Linked DNA regions of Oryctolagus cuniculus. The protein of the gene in region 3 interacts with the protein of the main gene of each other region in a biochemical or structural test. Links are inferred from orthologs where the notes say so. Each region holds a gene or a part of one and is shown on either strand. Other genes may lie near its edges.

Region 1 (4,430 bases), on a different chromosome or scaffold from region 3:
CCTGCAGCGCCGGCATCCCATATAGGGGCCAGTTCAAGTCCTGGCTGCTCTACTTCCAATCTAACTCCCTGCTAATGCATGTGGGAAATCAGCATAAGATGGCCCAAGTCCTTGGGCCCCTACACCCACATGGGAGACCTGAAAGAAGCTCCAGGCTCCTGGCTTTGTATCCGCCCAGCTTCAGCTGTTATGGCTGTTTGGGGAGTGAACCAGCAGATGCAAGAACTCTCTCTCTCTCTCTGCCTCTGTCTCTCTGTGACTCTATCTTTCAAATAAATGAATAGATTTTTTTTAAAAAAAATGTAATGCAAATCTAATCTGTGTATTGGGAAGAAAAGCTAGATCTGTTGCATAGTGTTTATTTATGTGACTTCTCAAAGGAGAATACACAAGAATGATACTGGATCGCACCTACTAGATATTGTGTATTTTAGCTTCAGTGTCTGTAAGGCCTCTCTTTCAAAGGTGGGATATAGAAAGGCTAGTTCTTCAGTTTCTTAGGATGTTACTAACACTATGAACAATACAAGCAGGTGGAGGAGAAGAGTGCTTTAATGAAAACTTGAGCTCTTTTCTGAACTCTGTACCAGCATTACCCTTTTCTTGTTTAGAATAAAAGTATTTCACTTTCTCTAATGTGTAACCTGGACAACTGGCATATTTCTAAAATGTTTCCTGTGTTTATTAGGCACATGACTTTTAATTTGTTATTTTCCTTAACTAGACTCTATTACCTTACTGCTTTTCCAGAAGAACGTTGTACAACCAAGAATTAATTTCAGTAGTCTCTTAAAGTGCTTGTCTTGCAGCAGTGCCTTTCTTCTTAAAGTAGGGTGACCACCTTCCCGTTTTAAAGAGCACTTCAGGGCCGGTGTTGTGGCGTAGCAGGTAAAGCTGCCCCTGACACGCTGGAATCCATATAGGCATCCATTCAAGTCTCAGTTGCCCCACTTCCCATCCAGCTCCTTGCTAAAGTGCCTGGGAAATCATGGAAGGATGCCCCATGTTCTTGGGCTCCTGCACCAATGTGGGAGACCTGGAAGAAGCTCCTGGCTCCTGGCTTTGGATTGGCCCAATCCCAGCCATTGTGGCCATTTGGGGAGTAAACCAGCAGATGGAAGATCTCTGTCTCTCCCCCTCTCACTCTGTAACTCTTTCAAATAAAATAAATAAATCTAAAAAAAAAAAACAAAAAAAAAAAACAAAAAAACACACACTTCAGTAGAAGTCCTAAAACCTGTTTTATGTGCATCTTTGGTACTAACTAGCATTAAATATCCAATTAGTCTTTTTCAGCTATCTGTGGGATAGATAAATAAAAGTGGGTTTTATCTTGTCTTCATAAGAAATACCTAAATTCCATAAGTCTACCCTCTTTGTTTTGCTCAAAGCTTTGTTTCCTTGTTCTTGTAGGATACCCACATTTCCATTTCTTTGCCTGATAAAGTTTTGATTCATCATGGATAATCTGACATCAGAAGAAATTCAGCTGAGGGCTCACCAGGTTACTGATGAGGTAAATGCTTTATTGAGAATAAGTAATCCTGTTGCAGTTTTCACGGCGCAGGGTCTTCCTAGTCCCTTTGTGTCAAAGAATGAATTTGCCCCTCAGTGGCATTCATTGCTCATTGCTTTTCATCAACTCACCAGAAACACTAAGTAAGGGAAGATAATTCGCATGGTTTTTCCAGATAGTCATTGCTTAACAGTTACTCACAACAAAGATACTCTAAATTTGAAGAATTCTGGATTTTTTATTTATTTCCTACTATCTGTGTAATATTCTTAGAGTTCTGTCTTCATCAAATTTTTATGAACCCCTTTAAGTGTACCATCCTAATTTTCTTTTAAGAAGGACTTGATAAGAATAACTGAAAATACAGTGACCAGTTTTCTTGATTTTGTTTTAAAGGGAGGGATGGGCTAGTGATTTTTAAACAGAATAACGTTCTGAATATAGTCTGTGTTTTTTTTTTTTTTTTTTTTTGGCTACATATTTTGAAATGTTTAAACTAAAACTGTATTTTTTTCCTAGTCTCTGGAAAGTACAAGGAGAATCCTGGGTTTAGCCATTGAGGTAAGAAAGTGTTTAATCATCAAGTTAAATACAGAAGTTTATAGGAGGGATCCTGATAGCACTAGCTGGAGTTGCTGCTAAAGCACATTCTATCAATATACTTTATTATTTGAAACCTGCAATTACTGAAATTGTCAAACCATGTGCTAACTGGCCTTTTCTGCTTTTCCCTTTGTGATGGTATTGGAATATGCTTGGAAAGATGAATTAATTTTAAGTTTTTGACTTAATTATTTTTGGATATTATGTTGAAGTGTGTTGATTTAAGAATGCTAGTTCTGGCCGGCACCGCGGCTCAGTAGGCTAATCCTCCGCCTTGCGGCGCTGGCACAGCGGGTTCTAGTCCCGGTCAAGGCGCCGGATTCTGTCCTGGTTGCCCCTCTTCCAGGCCAGCTCTCTGCTGTGGCCTGGGAGTGCAGTGGAGGGTGGCCCAAGTGCTTGGGCCCTGCACCCCATGGGAGACCAGGAGAAGCACCTGGCTCCTGCCTTTGGATCAGCGCGGTGCGCCGGCCGTGGCGGCCATTGGAGGGTGAACCAATGGCAAAAGGAAGACCTTTCTCTCTGTCTCTCTCTCTCTCTCACTGTCCACTCTGCCTGTCAAAAAAAAAAGAATGCTAGTTCTATCTGTAGCTTCGATCCTCTGAGGATGAATTTCCAAATGATTCTAGTCTTGCTATTTGTCAGCCCTTTTAAGGTCTTATTTCTGTTGGTTTAGGGTATTTAATTAATTAATTTATTTTTTACTATTGGTATTTTCCCTCTTTGTTTTAGTCTCAGGATGCAGGAATCAAGACCATCACTATGCTGGATGAACAAGGGGGTGAGTTAAAGTTACTGACAGAAATTCTTAAATTGATTTACAATGCCAAAATGTTCTATCAAATCAGCCCTGTATAGATTTTCCTTTGGGAATGCCTTAACTTTGTAAGATGAGTGATGTGTTTACTTCTGATTTGAATGACATCATGTTTATTGCCTGGTTAGCACAGGGGGCAGTGACCAACTATATACCAAGTATGTGTTAGGCCAGCATGGCTTATTGTGTGCATCAGGCCTCTATGCATTCTTACTTCACCCTAGAAATCAAAGTTAAGTCCTAAAACCGATTTAGATTCAGATTAACTTGGGAACATTTGATTTGAGTTGGCCTTGAGAAATCTCATCTGTTTTTGATTAGTCTTGTGGTCACCTCAAGTTTCAAGCATAATAAGTGATAGGAATGCTGGGGATCTGATGTGGTCAGAGTACACTTGCTTGCATTGGGAGGGTGCTAAATCTTCACATGCTCCTGGTGTACAGATTTCTTTAGAATAGATCCTTCCACAATTATAAGCCATTGTCAGTATGGGTGTAAGAGTGTCTTCATGTTGAACATTTTGTAATATCTTCTGACACTGATAGATTTATTCTTTGTGGTATAGTATTGGTAGATTTGAAGTTGAAGTTTGCTATTCCACTATGGCGTTTTCTTGTTGATACTGTAACAGAAAATGTACCTTCAACACTTTATTCTTAGAACAACTAAACCGCATAGAAGAAGGCATGGACCAGATAAATAAAGACATGAGAGAGGCAGAGAAGACCTTAACAGAACTCAACAAGTGCTGTGGCCTTTGTGTCTGCCCATGTAATAGGTGAGTGGATAAATCAAGTTTTTTTCAAAATCAGTAAATGAGAGCATCTCCTCCCAAGTAAGGTTAGAAGTATGACTGGACCTAGATGAGGATGTTTGTTAGGTAAACTTAAAATATTTCTTCTTTTGGCAGATTGAGTGCTTCATGCGAATAGCTATGTTCATTGAAAACCATGGCTTACTTTTGGCCAATACTGGGAGCGATTTCCAATTTTAATTTGTAGTAAAATACAAAAATTTTGGAAAATACGTATTTGAACGATACAGAGCTGGATGGGGTTAGTGTCTTTCGTTTCAAACAAGGGAAGTTAATAAAACTCGAGTATGTGTTCTGTGATAGGCTCCTGAGAGATGGCTAAAGGAATAAAGGACTTGGGCCTTGTTTTCAAAAGACTGCTATGTTGTTGGGCGTATGAAGAAAAAACAGAAAATATGTAAATCTAGTGTTAGCTCATATGATATCAATTAAGTATAGGGGGAAAGGTGATAAAGGTTGGGCTGGAGAACATCTTACAGAAGAGGTGGCAGATGAGTTAGGCTTTCAGTGATTAGCAGGAATTTGGATGAACCTGAGAAATAGGGAGGGCATTTTGCTATGTAAGATTCAAAGGAAACAAGGATTAAGGAAGCTGCCAAGCTGAGGAATTGATAGGTTAGAGTGGAGTATATGATTATATAACCAGGAGACTAGTTAAAAACTTACTGTATTCTAGGCCAGTG
Region 2 (4,466 bases), on a different chromosome or scaffold from region 3:
CAACCCCGAGAAGCTGTTGTGTGTCTTTTCGCAGGACCGCAGGGAGAGGAGTTATTAGCCCATAGATCGTCCGTCCTCCCCGCATCTCCCAAGTTGGAGCTCCTCTTTGTTTCCCTCCCTCATGTCTCTTATTTTCCACGCCCTGCAGCCCCTCTGCTTCCCACCGCCCTTCCTCAGTGAACGCATTGTGCGGGGGGTATCTGTCAGCCTCTCCCGACTTGACCCAGACGGTGTCTCCCGGCCTCCGAGGAGCGGAAACTTCATCCAGTCTCCCTCTCCACAGTGGAGAGCACACCGGGCGTTACTGACAGGACCTCAGCGTTAACAGCGCGCACCCGGGTCCCGAAAATGAGCGGCAGCACGGGGTCCCCGCCGCCGGGCGGGCCGGGGGCTCGGGTGGCGAGGCGGGTCGCGGGTCGGCCCAGCAGCTGTCTGCCGCCGCCAGACGCGCTCCACCCCCGGGAGCCGCCTCGGGGGCAGAGTCCGCGTTTTCCCTCTAGGCTCCGCTTCTCCCCCAGTACCTCGCCGCGTCTGCCATCCTCTCGCCCCTGACATAATCGTCGCCAAGACGCTGGCAAAACCTAAACCCCAATCAATCCCACACAAAGCCCACCAAAAATAAAGCAGCAAGAATGGTCTTGCAGCCCCGGGCCGCGGGGTGGGGGTGGGCGGGGAGGACCAGTGTTTCATTAGCGGGTGAACGCTCAAACCCCCGCTTTCCTCATCGAATCCGAAATGAAGCTCTTCTTGCGGCTTGTTAGTCGTCAACACTTTTACTATGCCAGTTGCAGAAGCAGCAGCTGCACACTCTGGCAGCGCCATCGCGGAGGCAGAAATTTAGCCAGCGTCTGGGATTTGCGAGGAGGATAATTTAAGCCCCGGCTTCGCTCCGGCTGGGGGCTTTGGGGCTGGGGGGCAAAAAGGGGGTGGAGGTGGCGGGGGGGGGGGGGGAGGCTGCGGCGCGTGTGCGCATGCCCAGCAGCCCCGCTCCGCGGAGGCCCAGCTGCCGCCGCCGCCGTCACCGCCACCGCCACCGCCGGCGCTGTAACCGCGGCTGCCGCCGCTGCTCCGGCCGGGGGTCGGTGCCGTGTGCCGAGGCGCCCTGTCAGGCGAGAGGGAGCGGCCGGGAGGGGAGAGCCGGAGGCGGCGGCGGCGCCTCGGGGAGGCAGCCGGGGCTCTGAAGAAGCGAGGGCAGGCCGGTCCAGCGGCAGAGGAGCGAGGCGGAGCGAGGCTGGCGGCGCGGGGACCCACCCCGGGCGCCTGGCGTGCGATGCCGGGCGGGCAGCGGCGCTGAGCGGCGGGGAGGCCGAGCGGCGGCCGCGGACCGAGAACCGTCGACCCCCGGGAAGAGGAGGAGGAGGAACAGGAGCGGGAAGGACGCGCCGAGGGGACTGCGGGGTCGGGGCGGGCGAGGAGTGGCGGGGCCGCGGGCCATGGACTCGGCGGGGGCGAGCCGGGGTGGCGGCGCGGCGCAGAGCCCGCCCGCGGCCAGGTGAGGCTGGGCAGAGCGGGCTCCGGGCGCCTCCGCCACTGCCGCCGCCGCCGGGCCGCGGAGCGAGGAGGCGGCCGCGGCGCCACAGCAGCCGCCCGGGAGGAAGAGGGGTCGCCGCGCGGTGTTCCCGCGGCCGCCGCGCTCTCGTCGTCGCAGTATTTCCTGTTCGGATTATCTTTTGCTTCCCCCCCCAACCCCCCAGCTGCCGCCTCTCCTTCCCCTCACACTCGCACTCTTCTGGGTCCGCGGTCGAAGCTGCCCTCGGCTCCGGCCCGTCCACCCCGCCGGGGACCCCCGGCGCCTGTCCTCCCGCCGAGACCATGAGGAAATTCAACATCAGGAAGGTGCTGGACGGGCTGACCGCCGGCTCGTCGTCGTCCTCGCAGCAGCAGCAGCAGCAGCAGCACCCGCCTGGGAACCGGGAGCCCGAGATCCAGGAAACGCTCCAGTCCGAGCACTTCCAGCTCTGCAAGGTGAGCCGGGCGCGCAGCCCCCGACGCCGTCTTGGGGAGTCGGGGTCGTTTTGGGGGGCGCTGACTTGGAAAGAGAGCGTCCGACAGCTTTAATAAAGGGCCGGCTCTACCGCTAGCAAATGCTTCCTGGGTGCGTTATTTTGGACATTGGATCTTACTCCTTTTCGCTGATTTTTTTTTTCCCTCCCTCTCTCGTTTTCACACGTAGCAGTCGGTTCAAGGTTGCTTCAGACGCATTATCTAACATTTAATTCGTATCCTGACAGTGCTGGCAATAATCTGAAAGCTTCTATAGCCAAGCATTTTAATGTAATTCACCAACTTCCAAGTTTCCCTTTGGAAACAGTGTCTAATGAATATTGTTTATCCAAAAGCCAAACCTGTTCAACCAGATCTTTGTTCATCACTTTTCCCTTAAAATGGATTGGAGGAGCTTACACTATGAAATCGCAGATTTTTTTTATCACTCTGTTTCTTTAAAGAGTTAGTACTGTTATTTTTGCCAATTAATGGCACACTGAGTGCCTTAGCATGCCGTAATTGAGAGAGAATGATGCAGCGAATTAATTCACCCACTGCTCAATGAGCACTACAAAGTTGTTTTGCAATTAATAGCTGCCTTCCTCTTAAACAGTCATGCCTTCCTTTGGAAGAGTTTCTTAAAGAGTAAATGTTTTGCCCCAAATCCCTGAAATTATTATTTGCTTAATAGTAAGTTGCAAAAAATATGAGTATATGTTGTACCCATTTTCGTTCTTTTACAGTTGAAAAATGTTGGGGTGGAGGCTTAGTAATTGCTTTAGCAATATTTTGGCAGAAGTAATTATATGGCAGCTTTTCCTAGGAAGTACTTGGATTTAGCATCCAAATAAAGTAATGATAAAGTGATTGCTCTTGAAAACAAATTTACAGAATTTTATACCTCTGCAGACTTTTATAATTTGGTGTCAGACTTAATATGAATATTAATGAGAATTTTCTTCTACCAGTGTTAAGGAAAAGCAGAATGTAATGTGTCACACTGAGGTGTTTGTTTATTTCAGGTTCCATGTGAATTACTTTGTTAAGGTAGATTCCATTTTAAAAAAATTGTAAAGCAGTAAGTGCATGTGTATGTGTTCGATTAGATTATACAGTTGTTTCTGAATTCTAATGCCTCTGTTGACATTTCTATTTTTAAATTTTGCTTGCTGCCTTGGTTGCTGTGATGTCACCTGCCCATCCCTAGACTGTGCGCCATGGATTCCCCTATCAACCCTCAGCCCTGGCCTTTGATCCTGTACAGAAGATCCTGGCAGTGGGAACTCAGACTGGTGCTTTAAGGCTGTATCCTTTCTTTAATTTTATTTTTTAATTTTTACTCTGTGCCCCTTAGTCCTTCTGTGTTGCTGATAAGTTCCAAAGAAAATTTTCTTTTTTTGTTTAATTCCAAAGACAAGGTGTGGTGTTTGTTTTTCCCTTGATTATACTTACTTGTGCGTTGTATGTGGCCTTGATGTCTCTATGTTCAGTTTATAGTAGATAAATGTGTATCAAAATAGAAATGTAAAGTTTTGCTCTAGTTACTTTTTTTGCAACAGGCTAGACATTTCTGAGGGGAAATAGATGTGCTCATATACTAGTGGTCTATTGCAAAGGGTATGTTAAGGGAGAGTCATAAAGATAGTAGTACGATGTTCATTTTATTTGCTTCTTAAAATATTGTACATGGTGGACATTGAACTTAAGATGTGTGTTTTTCTAATGAATTATAGGTTCAATTTGAATTTGATTGTGGTTGTTTCCAACATGTCCATGTAGAAAAATCATTAGCAGAGAACAAATGCAATGATGCTCTATGAGTAGTTATGAAGGGTTAATATTTCTGCAAGTTTTAGAGGTTTTTTAGTGTAATGCGTAGGTATGAATGTGCTCTCTGCACAGTTTCCCTTTTATAGTCTACATTTGTTGTGTACATGTACAAACTATTAGGTTAGTTTTGCATTTAAGTGTTAGTATAGAAAAGAATCTTCCTGGATACGTGTTAACTATGATAATTTTATTATGAGCATTTTGTTAAATATTTTAAAAAATGTTTTTCAAGATCATTATTTTAGCCTGAACAATAGAGACTGCTTTTTACTTTCCTACTGTTCAGTTTGGAAATAAAATTTGTGTTTGCTTTCTCTATGACATTTAACCATATTTAATCTAAATACTCTTATTTTTAAAATTAAACAGAAAAAATGCTTTGTTCGGCCATCTGTAGGATATATACCTCCGTATATTATTGAGGAATTGTGCTGATAATGAACAGATAAAAAATTAGTAGGTGATCCCAGTAGACATTGTCAAAAAAATGGAAGTGGGTGAGAAGTTTTATCCCTTTACATTTTAGATTTATCTGCATTTGAGTTAAATTGTGTCAAGTATTTTACTCCTGATCTTTCAAGCTTATTTCAAAGAAGTATTCTACGGTATCAGGACATGCTTTATGTTTCATTTGTGATTTAGTGTACTGT
Region 3 (4,410 bases):
TCTCCCCTTTTCCCCAAAGAGCCAGGCGCTGGGCTCTGGGGCTGCAGGCTCGCTGTCCCCGGAGCCAGGCGCCTCCCCCGCCACTGGGCCCCGTCACCCAGAGCAAGTGCCTGTAGCAGGTGAGTCTTCGCTTCTCCTCTGACAAGCGCGGCCTTTGGAGCACTCACGGTTGAAGCCTGGACAGCTTTTCGCAAGCAGTGCGTCTGTCTCCCAGGCCAGACCACATCAGAGGCCAGCTTGTCCGGGAAGAAGCGAAGGCTGGCATGCTGCCCCCACTCCGCCTGCCAGCCAGCTCACCTGTGCCCTCAGTCTGGGACAGGCGCCAGGCTCACCAGGCAGCGGGGGCTGGGCTGGCTCCAGAGCAGAGCCTTGGCGGTCCTGGGGAGAGGGAAAAGGGGCGCGTGCTTGGCTTGGGGTCGAGGGTCTGGGCCATTCCAGCCGGGGGCCGCCACTGGGATGCTGTCACAAGGAGAGACAGAGCCCTGGAGGGAGCATCTGTGACTAACCAGCCCCTCTCCGCCCCTCCCCAGGTGCTGCTCGTCCCAGGCCCAGCGGCCCCGGCTTGTGGACAGGCAATGGGGTCTTCAGGCCCACAGCTGGAGCTCAGGGCAGGAGATGCAGGGAAAGAGGAAGGGAAAGGAGAGGAAGTGCTATTGGGCCTGGGGCCGGTGCTTGGTGTAGCAGGTAAAGCGGCCGCCTGCAGCGCCGGCATCCCATATGGTCGCTGGTTCGAGTCCCGGCTGCTCCACTTCCAATCCAGCTCTCTGCTATGGCCTGGGAAAGCAGCAGAAGATGGCCCAAGTGCTTGGGGCCCCTGCACCCACGTGGGAGACCTGGAAGAAGCTCCTGGCTCCTGGCTTCGGATTGGCACAGCTCCGGCCATTGCGGTCATCTGGGGAGTGAACCAGCGGATGGAAGACCTCTCTCTCTGCCTCTGTCTCTCTGTAACTCTGTCAAATAAATAAACCTTAAAAAAAAAGAAAGCAAAAAAAAAAAAAAAAAACCATCGCCCCCCAAGGATCGAGGGGTTCCTGCATCCTGCTGGAACAGCCAACGCAAGGGTGAGTTGGGGGTGGGGGTCGCCCGCACTCGTGAACCGAGAGATCCTGGGGCAGAGGCTGAGTCTGCACGAGGTGGTGTGACCAGTGGGAGGGGCCGGGGCCCCGCGTCGGGGGCGGGGTTTGGGCAGGGGGCTGCTGCACGGAGTTCCAACCGCAGCTGGAAGGGCTCACTGAGCGGGGGAGACTAGGGGCCCAGGTCCGGGGTGCAGAGTGGGGAGGTGGTCGGGGCCGAGGCCGGGGAGGCCGCAGGGGATCCAGCGTCCAGGTCCCAGCTGGGACAAAAGCCCAGGGCCCCCGGGCTCTGGGAGGGTGGGGCGGGGCGGGGCGGGGCCGGGCCGGGGTCCCGGGGGCCGGGGCGGGGCCGCGCTGGCGCTGCGCAGCCGCGGGGCGGCCGCCGCGCATGCGGGGCTCACAGGGCTGCAGCCGGTGCCGCTGCCACTCCCGGGAGCATGAAGGACCGAACCCAGGAGCTCCGCACGGTGAGTGCGGCCCCGCGCGCGGCCGCTCCTCGCCCGCGCCAGCGCCAGCGCCCCGGCTGCCTCCAGCCCCCGGCCTCCCGCGGCCCCTGCGCCCCCGGCCGGGGAGGGGGGAACCCTGAGCCCCCTGCTCGTCCCGCCCCTTCGAAACCCTTCGGGGGTCCCCGGCTCCCGCGCGCCCGGACGCCTCGGCCGGCGGGCTGGCGGCCGGAGCCCGGGGTCCTGGACAAACTTTGCGGCTCCCGGTGCCTGGGGGGAGTCGGAGGGTTATCGGGGTGGCGGTGGCGGGACGGCGCCCGCGGAGCCGATCCCGCCCGCATCGCCACCCCCTGCACACTCCGCTGACCCCGCCGTGTGAACGCGCGCCGGGACCGCGGGGGGACACCCGCCGGGGACGGTGCCCGGGCGCCGCCCCTCCCCCATCACCTGTGGCTCCCATCACCTGTGGCTCCCTGTCCTGCCCGGGCGCGGTCGGGACCCTGTCTCTGGGCGCCCTGGGGCTGCGAGGGATCGCACCCACCCCACCCACCCACCCACCTAGTCCACCTTCCGGGGCTCCGCGGTGCGACTCCCACCTGGATCTTATTTTTCCACCTGTGTCTCCGAGGCCCCTGGGCTGTGGCTCCTGGGGCGGGGTTCCGGGGCAAGGTTCTGGGTCGGCGCCCACCTCTTTCAGCCCGGATCAGGACTTCTGCCCTGCTGCTCCTCACCCTCAAAGCCGCCTCTGCCTTTGGAGATGGCGGGGAGGGCCCCTGGGGGGCAGTGAAGGAAATGGGGTCATGTAATGGGGGGCTCAAGACTGGCTTGGGTCTCCTCTGATGCCCCGGCTAGCGACCACCCCCTGCACACCAGTCCGTGCCCCCCACCCACCCCACCTGCCTGGCCTCCAGATCTGTGTCATTCCTGGCCGAGCGCCCAGCCCCAGGGGCAAATCCCGTGGGGTTTCCAAGGAAGCAGCCGGTCCCTCCTGCGGTCCTTGGTCCCCGGACACTTCCCCCCAGCCCTTTCGGTTGCTCTCAAGGTTCCTGTGATGCGGCAAGTCGGTGGGGGCACCGGCGTGGCGAGGGTTGGCTGCGTGAAGCGCCTGCTCCTGCTTGCGTGTCCCTTGGGTCCGATGAGGGTGCAGGGGAGCCTCTGGCTTGTCCCTATGCTGGAAGGGAAACCGAGGCACAAGGAGACGGGGTGGGGGGGGCTGCCTGCTGGAGGCAACGGGGTGTGGGGAGGGACTTGGCCTGGTGGCTGGGACTGGGGGGCCCCAGGAGAGCTTGAGTGGTGAGAAGCAGGGACCCAGAAGTTGTCTGTGATGTGAGTCCCTGTCCCCAGTCCACGTGTACACACACACACACACACACACACACACCTGCCTGAGCCCTGGCTGGCGAGCCTGGCTTGCTCTGAGTTATCTGATGTTTTCCCTGCAGGCATAGACCTCCCACCAGCCCCTGGTCGCTGTCCTCCAGTTTCTAACAGCCTCGAGGGGGTGGGGCGAGAGGCAAGGGACAAGGGGCGGCTGGCCAGAGCTCGCACTGGGTGGGCTGCAGTTTTGAAGGGTTTTCCACGAGGAAACCCCAGCTCTGGGGGCGAGGTGCAGCCACAGGTGTTGGACCTATGGCTGCACATTCTGGGGGAGACCTTGAACTCCAGGAATCAGGATTTGCAGCTCAGAAATGAGGAGCGGCACTGGCTGGGCTGGCCGGAGCTGGGGTTCAGGACGTGGCTGTGCGCCACCCCCAGCCCGCCCTCCTCCTCCTCCTCCTCCTCGCTCACCCAACATCGCCACCACATTTGGAAGGAAGGCGAAGGGAGCTTATTTATAAAAGTCACACTTGGGGAAGGAGCTGGCGTGCTTCCTCCGTGCTCCGCGGGCCGGGCTCAGCCCTCCAGCCTCCTCCTGCCCCCGCCTGCCTCTCTCTCTGAGGTTCCTTTCCATTCTGCAGGGGGAGAGTGAAGAGGGCTGTGGGAGCGGGGCCAGTGTGGGGCTTCAGCCCCTGAGACCAAGGCCTCAGGTCAGAGAGGCCTTCCTGGGGGTGCAGGGAAGCCACACAGCCCCGGGTGGGGTGGGCACTTTCAGGGTAGGATGTCCCCTTACACTTAGAAGCCTCCCTGATTTTCTTTCTGGGGCTTTACTGGAGCTGCTCCACACCCCTCCTCCGGTCCAGAAAGGAGTTCACCTGCATGCCTGGCAGGCTTCCTGGAGGAGGAAAACTTGGGATGGTCCCAAGGAGGAGGAGGAGCCCAAGCCGAGGGGATGGAGGATGCCCCTGAGGTCCAGAAAGGGGCCCGGCTCCCCCCCTCCCCACGCCTCTCAGGGCAGGTCAAGAGGCCGCAGTGGGGGGCAGCACCAGGCAGGTCTGGTCGGTTCTGCACCTGTCCAGTGGAGCCTCGCAGAGCAGGCACGGGGCAGGGTCTCCCGACACCCCCCTCTCCTTCCCCGCGGCTTCCCAGAATGAAGTAGGATCTGGCTGCGGAGAGACGGTGCCATTGGGGACCGGCTGGTCTCACCGCCTAGCCTACGGATCAGAAAAGCCAGGTTCAGAAAGGGCCACGGGTTCATCTGAGGTCACACAGCACAGCCCGGTGCCTTTTCCCCGGACCCGAAGCTGCCGCCCCCATGCTCTTGGGACCTTGCGAAGGGGCAGCCTGTGCTAAGCAGGGAGCTGATGTAGCAGGCCTGGTGGGGGGTGGGGGTGGGGGTGAGGGCTTTGAGCGCCCTCCTTCCTGGAGGCCCAGCCCCTGTATCAGCCCTGGGCCTCTGCACTTGATATTGACTTGGGTTAGCCATTAAAAAGAGGAAGGGAAAAAAACCGCCCTGGAGGCAGACAACAGCCACTCGGCTTGGCAGTGATGAATCAACCCAGCCGGCAGAGGCTGGC
Region 4 (4,300 bases), on a different chromosome or scaffold from region 3:
TGTGGGAGGCAGCATGGCGAGAGAGAAGCTAGTGTGGCCCTCTCAACCAGTGTTTTGCAGGACCCCAGAATAGATGCAAGGGGATGGGGGTGTGCCACAGTCAGCGAGTGGCAGCCCTGCGGTCAGAGAGATGAGGGGAGAGGCCAGGGCTGGAGAGAAGGTGGCCAGGGCCCCAAGTGCAGGGCCTTTGCAAAACAGGGCAGGTGGCCAGCACGTGGCAGTGGGGGAGGGGGAGGCGAAAGTCCTTGAGGGCTGGGCTGGGGTTGGCTGTAGGGGAGGCCGCTGGGGCAGCCCTCAGATTTCCAGATCGGGCAGGGTCTGCAGGTGCGCTGTGGTGCAGTGGGTTAAGCTGCTGCCTGTGAAGGCTACATCCCATATGAGTGCTGGTTGCAATCCTGGCTGCTCCACTTCTAATCCAGCTCCCTGCTAACGTGCCTGGGAAAGCAGTGGAGGATGGCCCAAGTGCTTGGGCCCCTGGGAGACTCACATGAAGCTCCTGGCTCAACAGACCTGGTGTTGCGGCCATCTGGGGAGTGAACCTGAGGATAGCAGATCTCTCTTAACTCTGCCTATCAAATACATAAAATAAAAAAATCCTTGCAGACCTAGAAGGAGGAAGAAGACTGGGGCTGTGCTGCTGCCCGGAGCAGCCTGCAGATCCTGCTTCCCTGTCACCTGTTCCCCATCTGTCCATGCACCCCCTGGCCACGGTCTCCGTGGCCCACCACACCTGTCCCAGGAGCAGGCCTCAGGTAGAGCAGCCCTCCCCCAGCCCCCAGCTCAGCAGGCAGGGAGGGGGCAGGCAGGCGGCTGCCTGGTCACAGGGACCACAGGGAGAGGGGAGGGGGCCGCAAAAGAAAAGCTTAGAAGGTGATCCAAGGAGGGCCCAGGGAGGAGAGGGAGCGGAGCGAGAGGGAGAAGGGGGGAGCGGCAGACGGAGGAGGGGGGAGGGGAGGAGGGGGGAGAAAGAGAAGGAGGAGGTGAGAGGAGGTGGGAGGGGAGGGGTTGGGAGAAGGGGGTAGAGATAAGGGGAAGGAGGGGGGAGGTGGGGGTAGAGGGAAGGGAGTGGAAGTGAGAGGAGGGGGAGGTGGGAGGAGAAGGATCTAGGAGGGGGAGGTGGGAGGCTAGGGACCGGTGGCAGGCTGGGAAGCTCTGAGGCGGCGGCGGCGGCGGCGGCGCGGGCAAGCCCCTCCCCCGGCGGGGCGGGCTCCCCGAGCCGGCCCCGCCCCCACCGCGCCGGCCTCGCCTTCGTCCTAGCTGCCCCGCGTCCCTCCTCCCGCCCTCGGAAGAGCGAGCGAGCGGCGAGGTTCCGGGCGAGCTGTGTCGAGCCCAGGAGCCGAGGAGCGGGGAACGCAGGCGTCCCGAGCCCGGAGCGGCCCCGCGCACCGGAGCGGCCGAGGCTCCCCGCGCAGCGCCCGCCGCGGGCCGCGCAGCCCCGGCCGCAGGTAGGAACGCGCGGCCGGCGTCGGGGCGCGGAGGACGCAGGGACTGCCCGGGCGGGACGCGCCCGAGCCCCGAGCCCCGAGCCCCTGCCGCGGGCTGGGCTGGGCGGGTGGGGGGCGGGCACCCCAAGACTCCGGCCCATCGCGTCGCCCCTGGCTTGTGACCCAGCGTGTGCCCGCACGAGGGGCGCGGTGACCGCATACCCCCGCCCGGTGGCGGTACCCCTCGGACCGCCGAGCAGGCGTGGATTCCGCTGCAGCCGTCGAAGCGCCCTGCGCGGTCCCAGGGGGTGGTGGGCGCGGGGAGTGAAGGTGGCAGCTGCGTTCGGGTGGCCGGGAGCCGCTGCCCGGGGCTCGGGCCGGCCGAGCCCACCTGGGGGCGCGCCATTTATCCCGGGAGGGCTTCAGCCGGGCAGAGCAGCGCCTTTGCGTTCTGGGACAGCTCCAGCTCGCCGGAATCCGGAGCCGAGCGCACCAGCGCGCGCGCCGCGTCCGCCCTACTTTCCCCTGGGGCTGTGAGCTCCCTGCGTGCGGGCTGGAGTTCTTGTGTCCGCTTGCCAGCCCGGGAGGCCACCCTCCCTATCTTGCCTTTCGTCCCCGGCGTGAGAAAAAGGGACGACGATGCCTGCCTTAGTTGCCCTGACCAGCAGCGGTCCATGCGCAGACCCCTTGTGCGCGCCCGTTTCCGCTGGTGGCACCCGCAGATGTCCTTTGCTACGCTTGGCTCGGTCTTCAGGTGAGGATCTCAGACCTGGCAGCTCCTGCACAGAGGCTCTGAGCTAAGACCCTCCCCCTGTAGACGTGAACCCCGAAGGAGAAAATTGGATTAAAAAAAAAAAAAGCCAAATAACAGCCCTCTTGCCAGTGAGGGGCTGAAGCACCTGCTCCGGCTCCCAGAAAGCTCATCCTTAAGAGGCAGGAGAGGGGGGCATAAGGGGTGGATAAAATGACGCCTGAGCTTTGGTGACAACCCAGATCAGACCGTGTCGCCTGCGTGGAATTTGGGGCCAACCTTTGTTTTTCTGCGGCATGCAGGTGGGTGTTTGGAGAAGGAGAGGGGATGTCTGGTGCTGGACAAGGCTTAGACTCTCTCTCAGGGTCCCCTGGGGGCAATGTATTCATGGGGGAATGCCTTCAAACAGTTACAAAACAAATATGGGGACTGGGGACCCACAGGCATCCTGGGAGCTGGCTCCAGCTCTCTCTCTGTGTAGAACTCTGGGAAGCCTTGAGCCAGTGGCCATCCGGTTGGAGCGCCTCCCAGGCGGAGGGAGGGCGGGAGGAGAACTTGCCCTCAGAGGTGTGAGTCCCTGGGGGAGGGAGAGGGGGAGAGGGGGAGAGGGAGGGCCCCGCCCCAGAGCAGCGGGGCAAAATGGCTGAGCCTCCCTGGCCTCAAATAAATCATCAGGCACACAGCAAACAAAGGGAGCGCTCTGTCTCCAGCCAAGCGCTGGCCCCGTGGCCAGTCCTCGGAGGGCAGACAGTGAGTCCCAGGGAGAGGCGGCGTCTGAGTGCAGGGCTTCCCTGGGAGCCACACAGGGAGGCAAATCAGGGCCTCCTCTCGCCAGGACCGCAGGTTTGCCGAGAAGTGGGTCCCCGGGAACTCGGGTGAGGGTGGGAGGGTAGAGGGTGAAGACGAGGCAAGTCGCGTTCATCTGACCTAAGCGAGCCGCCCGACAGCCTGGCTGCCCCGGGCACCCCGGGGCTCACACGCCTGGCAGCCCCGGAACGTCGAATGCTGTGTGTGTGTTTGCGCATGGCCCAGCACGCAGCAGGAACTCAACAGATGCTTTAGAGTGAAAACGGTGCTTGCAAGGACCCACCTGCCTTTCTTCCTGTCTGCTCGAGCCAGGAGGGCCGCAGGCCGGGGCCTCTGTGTCCCTGGCTGGGGCCGAGTGAGCTCTGGCCAAGGGTTTGCTTTGAGACGGGCACTGCCATTTCTTGGTTAGGTGACCTTGGGGATATGTTCTCATTCCGCTCGGAGGGAAGGGAGCAGTGAAATCCCCCACGGTGCCCGGCTCCTCATCCCTGCGGTGACCCGGCGCAGCCCATGCTGCTCTGGCCTCCACTTCAGAAGGCGGAGGACTGAGAGAGATCGGGAAGTGACTTGCCCAAGGGCGCATAGCTGGCAGGAGGCTGGGCCAGGATCTGCCCCGCGCTGTGATGCACTTGCTTGCAGGCCTCAGGCCTTGCTTCTCCTCTGTGAAGTGAGGAGGTAGGTTTGGGGCACCGAGGATGGGATTTAGAGTTGACAGTGAGGCCCCGTGGGTTTGCCTTGTTCCTCTGCCTTTGCTGGCACGAGATGTGCAGGAGCCACATCAAGTCAAGCACCAGTGTCGGGCGGCTTCTTGCCCGTGCCACAAAGACGCCGTTCCTCTTGCTTTCGGGAGACACAGGCACAGAGCCAGCCCCAGAAGCTGCAGCCTTGCCCGCCGCCTCTGCCCTCCCTGTGCCTGTGCCGGCAGGCAGGTGAGAGCCCAGGCCGGCCCCTGCGGGCTGGCCCCAGGTGAGCCTCCCTTCCACTGATGCCAAACCCAGCCCCGCTGTGGCCTGGCTCCCCAAACGGGCACTGACACGTGAGTGTCGGCAGGCCTGTCGCACCGTGTCAGAGCTGCGCCTTCATTTCAGCCGTGCAGAGCCGCCGGCTGGAGAGCAGGGGGGCAGGGCGCAGACCCTGCTGCACTGGAAACAACCTTGAACTGACTCCAGGTGCGGGCTGCAACCCCTGCCCCACCCCAGCTGAGATGCATGGCTCTGTGGTGTGTGCCTTGTGCCCACTCCCCACGTGGGTCGGGCACACATGGAGGTCGGGCACACGTGGAGGTTGGGCACACCTTTCTGCAGACTGTGCCGTTCTA

Evidence for each region.
Region 1: the proteins of STX1A (region 3) and SNAP23 form a complex in vitro, tested with the Homo sapiens proteins (3 studies listed by BioGRID). The link is inferred for Oryctolagus cuniculus from reciprocal best matches to the Homo sapiens genes STX1A and SNAP23.
Region 2: the proteins of STX1A (region 3) and STXBP5 form a complex in vitro, tested with the Homo sapiens proteins (2 studies listed by BioGRID). The link is inferred for Oryctolagus cuniculus from reciprocal best matches to the Homo sapiens genes STX1A and STXBP5.
Region 4: the proteins of STX1A (region 3) and SLC6A1 form a complex in vitro, tested with the Homo sapiens proteins (2 studies listed by BioGRID). The link is inferred for Oryctolagus cuniculus from reciprocal best matches to the Homo sapiens genes STX1A and SLC6A1.

The regions. Positions count from the first base shown.
Region 1 is NC_091443.1:65,545,065-65,549,494, forward strand, and holds the start of SNAP23 (synaptosomal-associated protein 23), read left to right. Parts: upstream 1-1,459; coding exon 1,460-1,516; intron 1,517-2,035; coding exon 2,036-2,077; intron 2,078-2,848; coding exon 2,849-2,897; intron 2,898-3,593; coding exon 3,594-3,711; intron 3,712-4,430. UniProt on the Homo sapiens protein: Essential component of the high affinity receptor for the general membrane fusion machinery and an important regulator of transport vesicle docking and fusion.
Region 2 is NC_091436.1:20,863,177-20,867,642, reverse strand, and holds the start of STXBP5 (syntaxin-binding protein 5), read left to right. Parts: upstream 1-1,460; 5' UTR 1,461-1,812; coding exon 1,813-1,965; intron 1,966-3,193; coding exon 3,194-3,291; intron 3,292-4,466. UniProt on the Homo sapiens protein: Plays a regulatory role in calcium-dependent exocytosis and neurotransmitter release. Inhibits membrane fusion between transport vesicles and the plasma membrane.
Region 3 is NC_091450.1:50,381,510-50,385,919, forward strand, and holds the start of STX1A (syntaxin-1A), read left to right. Parts: upstream 1-1,428; 5' UTR 1,429-1,510; coding exon 1,511-1,540; intron 1,541-4,410. UniProt on the Homo sapiens protein: Plays an essential role in hormone and neurotransmitter calcium-dependent exocytosis and endocytosis.
Region 4 is NC_091441.1:116,029,620-116,033,919, reverse strand, and holds the start of SLC6A1 (sodium- and chloride-dependent GABA transporter 1), read left to right. Parts: upstream 1-1,255; 5' UTR 1,256-1,445; intron 1,446-4,300. UniProt on the Homo sapiens protein: Mediates transport of gamma-aminobutyric acid (GABA) together with sodium and chloride and is responsible for the reuptake of GABA from the synapse. The translocation of GABA, however, may also occur in the reverse direction leading to the release of GABA.